Linked DNA regions of Oryzias latipes. The protein of the gene in region 2 interacts with the protein of the main gene of each other region in a pairwise test. Links are inferred from orthologs where the notes say so. Each region holds a gene or a part of one and is shown on either strand. Other genes may lie near its edges.

Evidence for each region.
Region 1: the proteins of spdef (region 2) and homeobox protein Nkx-3.1-like interact in a two-hybrid assay, tested with the Homo sapiens proteins (2 studies listed by BioGRID). The link is inferred for Oryzias latipes from reciprocal best matches to the Homo sapiens genes SPDEF and NKX3-1.

What each region holds. Positions count from the first base shown.
Region 1 is NC_019867.2:16,767,563-16,770,747, reverse strand, and holds homeobox protein Nkx-3.1-like, read left to right. Parts: upstream 1-1,627; 5' UTR 1,628-1,702; coding exon 1,703-1,871; intron 1,872-2,048; coding exon 2,049-2,446; 3' UTR 2,447-2,639; downstream 2,640-3,185.
Region 2 is NC_019863.2:14,623,629-14,627,404, reverse strand, and holds the end of spdef (SAM pointed domain-containing Ets transcription factor), read left to right. Parts: coding exon 1-130; intron 131-1,026; coding exon 1,027-1,205; 3' UTR 1,206-3,017; downstream 3,018-3,776. UniProt on the Homo sapiens protein: May function as an androgen-independent transactivator of the prostate-specific antigen (PSA) promoter. Binds to 5'-GGAT-3' DNA sequences. May play a role in the regulation of the prostate gland and/or prostate cancer development.

The DNA.
Region 1 (3,185 bases), on a different chromosome or scaffold from region 2:
ACCACCAGCGTATCTGTAAATGTTCAGAGCACAATGAGTGAAAAAAAGGGAACTATAGCTGGTTTGGAAAAGAGAGCAATCATGTGGATTGTTACATAATGAGGGCTAAGGATGACCGCATTGAGGGATGCTCAAAAAGAAGTTCGTTCAAACATGTTAGCACAGCTCACAGGTGCGACTCCTGCCTTCTCTCATGCCCTTATGGTGCTTACATGATTTTTTTCTAAGGAAAACAAGGAGTTTTACACAAAAAACAAAAACTACGTGGGGGTTTTTGTTTCAAAGATTTTAGATCAATCTTCATTTTATCCTTTAAAGCATTTGCTATGGTCAAAATTATTATGTGAAGAATTATGAAAGATGAAATGGAGTGTCTAGACGATGGGATTCTCAAGCAGACAAGTCAGAGCTAAATACATCACACTGCTCATCTTAACACTGTGTTGACAAGACAAATGTTGAAGCTAAAGCAGAATTTCAAGGAGTTAAGAGCAAATATTGAAGTGTTTTTTGAGGATCAACACGTAGACACCAGAAGGTATGTGGCGGGTCGTGTTTATCATACCTGCATTCAGACGTTTCCTGATGAAGCTTGAAATCCCAGAGCAACACGGATGTCTCTCACTTGGCGGAAAGAGGTCAAACCGCACGGCAGAGAACAACAAATAAGCAGCCAGCAAACAATGAGTGTGTCCATTCAGGAGCCGGCTGAAATGTGTCAAACTCATTAGTGCTCCAGGAGGTTTGACCACCCACCCTGACCCCTCTGCCCTGCTACTGCACAGACTTGTCTCCCTAGGCCACTTTGTTGCTACTCCGAGGTGATGGGGAGTCAGGATTAAGACATAAATCCATTTAACTGCTATGGCACCATGGACTTAAAGAATGTCTGGGGCAGAAAGTTTCATTCTGCTCAGAGAACTCAGTGTTCCACTGCAAAATGAAAGTCTATTTCAGTCTCTTTTCACATTTAACTTTGGCTTTTGTGATGAAATAATATTACATTCATGCAAACACTTAATTCTAAAATACATATTGTCAATATCTTATTACTGACGTATAGATTTAGACATTTTCCGAACCTCCAAGTAAGTGAGCAATAAAAATCTGTAAACCATGAAGCTTTATTTGCACAGGTTAAGTTGACAAACCAAGAAATAAAATAAAAAACAATTTTACAAAAAAAATGTGAAGATTTTTTTTTGTTTACTACTTCCAGAAACATAAATATTATTCTATTTAGAGCTATAAGGCTCATTAGACTGAAGTATGCTAATTGATTTTCAAAGTTAAAAACGTCACAATTTCTAAATCAAAAGCATTCTTTTGATTTGATAAGAGTTTACTTTGAAAAATAATTTTGATTTTTTTTAATGTAAAAAACTGGATGACTCTATCTGTTCTTTAAAAAAATGCTTTCGAAATCAGCCCCTTGTATTTGCATTGATTTTTTCAAAGACACATTGTGGAAGCGTGTAGGACAAAGCAGCCTTGAAAAAATACTCCTGAAGAACAATGTCAACAAAGTCAAAACAAGGTGATCTAGAAAGGCAGACCAACTTCTATTGGACGAGTGAGCCCGCCTCCTTCACTTCAGTCTGAATGAATCCACCCCCACACTTCTAAAACTTAAGAACTCCCAAGTGAGAAGGACAGACACACTGTCTGAGAAGCTCCAGGTTTCTGACACACTGGATGGAAAATGTCTTCCACGGTCAAACCTGTCACGTCTTTCCTCATCGAGGACATTCTGTCCAATAAAGGCAGCACAGGATTTAGTGGTAAATTCAGCTCTCTGAAGACAGACAGATGCTCTCAGCGGAAGGAGGATTTGGAACAAGTTCCTCCTCAGGAGTATGAAAAACAGACAGGTGAGTTTCTGTACGTTTGAGACACCACATGTGCGAATTTTTAACTGAAAGAAATGGAATTTGAAACGGATATTTACTGAGTTAACACACCTGCTTGTACTATGAGTTTGTAACAAATCACTGCAAGTAAAGTAAAAACAATTTTTCATTTGATTGCATCTGTTTTCTACATTGCAGAGTCTGTAGACCCATCCTGTTGCGGCTCCCCACAGCTGAATTTAAACTCCACGGGGAAACAGAAGCGCTCCCGAGCTGCGTTCACCCACCTCCAAGTGCTGGAGCTGGAGAAGAAATTTAACCACCAAAAATACTTGTCTGCCCCGGAGAGGGCTCACCTGGCCACCTCCTTAAGACTAACCGAGACGCAGGTGAAAATCTGGTTCCAGAACAGAAGATACAAAACCAAAAGAAAGCAGCAAACATCCGAGATGTGCAAGGATGCATACAAAGCAGACAGTTTGGGACTAAGAGAGGACTTGGTCAGATCATCACTGATTACCTCCTTCTATAAAGCTTATCAATACAAACCTTACCTTTGGGACTGCAGTGGCCCCTGGGCTCCGGCGTTATGGTGAAAATGCCTCATGATTTATTGTATTAAACAAGTTGCTGGAATTTTCTGTTTGACAAGGACTTCATATTTCTTCTCAGCTTTTGTGAATTGACCATAAAAATTCCTGAAATTGTAAACTCCTTGGACCTGACGTGGATTTACAAATCAGAGAACCCCATGACTTAATTAAGCTTCGTCTTAACAGTGCCCCCCCCCCCCCCCCCCCCCCCCCCCAAGAAATGTGTGTAAATCATTCTCAAATTACCACCATAAATTTTCTAACATTTTTTAATGGAACAATGAACCAAACCTACAAACAAGGCGAGCCTCCAAAATAAAACAAAATGTCAAAAGTCTCTTAAAGGGGGCAGCAACAACAGCAGAATGTGTGTGAAATCCTTTCAGTTTTGACATACTGGGGGCCTTTCTCTGAAAACATTTAAAGTATCTGCCGTTGAACTCTATGACTGCACCGAGATATGTGTGATGTTGTCAGTGAGGGCTAAAGAATGAGACTTGGCTCCTATAAAGAGCCACTGATCTGATTACAGGGAGATAGAGAGCTCTTCAGTTTTCTAGAGATGACATCATAAGGAGGGTAACTGTATAGAGTTGAAGTCAGTGTCTTATTTGAGACAGTTTTTTCTTTGTTTATTTGTTTATGATGTTTCACCTTGAAGATGAGATTCTCTCAGAGGAAAATGCTGTAAAAAAGAACAACAAATTTGTGTAAATTTACAAATAGAGTGACTGAAGAAATA
Region 2 (3,776 bases):
GAGGAGCTGTGGTCCGAGGCAGATTCGTCATGTTCAGGACAACCCATTCACCTGTGGCAGTTCCTCAGAGAGCTCCTGCTCAAACCGCACAACTATGGACGCTGCATCCGCTGGCTCAACAAAGAAAAAGGTACAGAGGAGTTACCATAGCAGTTCAAATGTGAGATTTTGTTGTTGTTGTTGCCTATTTTGTCTTTTTTGGACAGTTTTCAACGAAGAAAGGTAAACACTGAGTGAAAAACTGTTGAGTTTAAGAACTTTAAAATAAAAAGAGAACTTTACATGTGTAGTTTAACATTAGCCAAAGATACAACAAAATATAATGTAACAAAATAAGTTTAGGTTAAGGGACTGGTGTTAAACTCCAGGCCTCGAAGGCTGATGTCTTACATGTTTTCCAACTTATTTGCCATTGTTGCTTCTTATGGCTAAAATATTGACTGGGGTTTGACATCCCTGAAAGTGATTTGGTTTATTCCACTAGAGCCTGTCCAAAATCCCGCTAAAGACTTTTTTCAGATACCTTTGTGTCAATTTCGTAAGACTGGCTGCTTCATCAGGAGGTCCAGAACTCCTGGTTACTGGAGATGTTTCGACGTTTTTTTTTTAACTTTACAGTTCCAGCCTTCACAGAAACTTTCTGTGTTGTAGATAATAAATCTACTATCATCTGGACCTCATTTGTTTTCATTTTTTTCTCAGATTCTGTTTGCATTACTAGTACAGCATGGTAATCCACATAATCAGAGTATCTAGACTCATATATGGCCCTTCTAATTTATGATTTTGTTAGATGCTTTTATGAAATTAGTTTCTTTTTTCAAACTCCAACTCAGCTGCAAACTTCACTAATGTTTTTTTGCTAGTGTAAATTAACAAGTAGATTAAGGTTCACAATAAAAACAGATTTTATAGACTATATAAAACATTTTTACAGAATTGTTAAAACCAAAAATGAACTTTAAAAGCCATTTTTGTCCGTGCGTGTTTGACGTCTATTTGATGTCTTGTTTTGTGTCTGGTCAGGTATTTTTAAAATCGAAGACTCAGCTCATGTGGCCAGACTGTGGGGGCTCAGGAAGAACCGACCCGCCATGAACTATGACAAGCTGAGCCGCTCCATTCGTCAGTACTACAAGAAGGGCATCATCAGGAAGCCTGATGTGTCCCAGAGACTGGTGTACCAGTTTGTTCACCCAGTATGAGGGATGACAGACGGAGGAGGAGCAGGTGGAGGTGGAAAAATGCTTTAGACCATAGACTCTCACTTGATTCATTAACCCCTAAAATGAAAGGTGGGAAGAGATGTGCACTGACTGTCCTCAACGCCACAGTCAGTGCTTTAGAAGCGGCTGGCTGCTGCAGCAGCGAGGAGGCTGTTCTGTGTGGGCGCCGTGAGCAGCACACGTCCTGCTGGTCCTGCTGCAGAACCCAATGAATGCATAGAGATTAACCCTTGTGCTATCTTAGATGACCCCACCCTTACATTGAGGTGTTATTCCTACCATGACAAAGGTGGATAAAGGTGGAAAGATTTCATGTAATCCATGGACACCAGTGAAGATCACAAATCATTGAAGAAAAAAAGTTCAGCGCACTGTCTAGTGGGTCTAGATGACCCAACTCCCAACGTTAAAGTGCCTCGGATAGCACAAGGGTTTCACAGATTCAAATAAACAAACTGCTTTATTGTTTGCCTAACCTGACTGTTTATCTTTTCACGTGACTCAGACTAAAAAAAACAACAACGCTTTTCTGATGAAGCTCAACGCAAACCCCTCCCCCATCTGCAGCTTTTGTTTTACGTCATGCATTTTCACCGTCAACAGATGAACGCCGTGTCCTTGAACGTCCCAAGCTGCAGGATGCAGCTCCTTCTTTACTATGTTTCTCATCACAAAAGTTCAAAAGACGACACTGATATCATCAAACCCCTCTGTGGTGATAACTTGTATTTTTGCTTTTTAAAAGTGGTGAATTCTATAATAAAACTGAAAACAAAAAATGTTTCCTGCCCACGCAGCTTTACGCAACCTTTGCTTTCATATTGTTAGAGTTTAGGATCCAATGTGATAAGATAAACAGTAAAGTGACAACTACTCTAAATAAATCCTGTATTCTTTTTTTTTTTAGTTTGATGCAACACTAATGATGTTTTAAAAATAATACAAAAGCAACAATATTAATAAAATATGTTCCCATATTGTTTTTATGTTCGGCAACACAAGACATTTCCCTTAATTTAGAAAAAAAAATGTTTTTGCATTCAGACGTTGTTTTGCGGCACAGCATTCAGCCTCAGAGAGACAAAAGTAATGTAAAAAATAAAAGCAGAACACAAATAAGCAAATAATTTGCTGTGCATATTCATTTTTTTAATAGTTTCTAAAACAGTTGTTCTTCAAGTTGAGTTTTATTAATGACCTTTTTTTTTCTTTAGGTTTCTCACAACTCTGTACTTTTTTTTTTTGCAGAAATATTTAAACAATCATACTTCCTGTCAAAGTCACACAGGACTCAAATTGTGATTGTATAATAAACTATTTTATCATCATTATAGTTAAGTCTTTATTTTTAAAGGAAGCTTTTGCTCGACCCTCTGGCAGTTTTTAAAATGTGATACCTTTGCCAGTTGTCATTTGAAGTGAACAAGTACCAGAAGTGGAAAGTTAGTTTCCAGTCAACGGATCTTTTTTTTCTTAGTTTCAGCTGCAAAATTTTAAAAAAAACTGCTACTTTGATAGAAATATAGTAGTTCTTAAGACTACCTGTAACTAATAACCTGTTTGAGCAGCTGTCAGTGAGATAAATGAAAGACAAACAAAAACTGATCAAAAATGTACACAGTAAAGCCACTTTTCTTTTCCATTGCTGAAGTATTTCCTGTAATGTGTAGAAGGAAGCAAAAAGTAAAAGACAGACCAGGCAGGAAACAATGGAAACTACTGTCATCTGTAAATGTATGCATAGCTGAGAAACAAACAGCAATAAACAAATGAGGTTTTGCACAAATTGTATCACGACTCATTGTGACTACATTTGTTTCTGAGCAGAAATCATTGAACTTTACTGGATTAAAGATTAGGTTTTCAAACAGGCAGAAAGTCTTTTGGAGTCCCCTTTAAAATTGAAGATGGTCCCAGAAAAGCTGGTCGCTCGGGACCTCTAGTGGTAATATCTGTGTACTGACTGTGGAGTTGATCTTTAAGTGTTTGTTGAAAGAAATTGGCATCAAGCTAAGTTTTTGTTCAGGTGTGTGACTGATTAATGTTCTGTGGCAAAATGTCCCCTATTCAGGAAATACTTAAAAAGCCACTATTGAAAAGGCTCAATAAATGTCCTTTTAATTCGGCTTTGTCAGAGGTCAAAAGGTCACACCCTTTTTACGCTCATGCATGAGCGTAAAAATGTAACTTTTTCTTTTGTTTCAATGTTTTAAAAAAAACATTTAATAATAATAAACACACACATATGCACACACGCATCTTCTCAAACACACGCACACACATTTTGCAAGGAAGATGGGACCTATGACCATCTGTCCCCTGCCCCTTCCCTGGTGGGGGGTACGGGGCCCTTGGCAACGGCGGCCGTGTCCCTTGGGTGCCGGTTTCCTGGGCCCGGTGGTGCTCTCTCCGTGCGGGGGGGGGTTCACATTACACCTGAGCCGGGGGTGTTCGTGTCCCTGGGGGGTGGGTTCTGGTCCTTGCCCCTAGGCGCTGTGCCCCGCCAAATTTCCAACTGTGGCTGAGCCTGGTCGGGCCATGTTTACAACA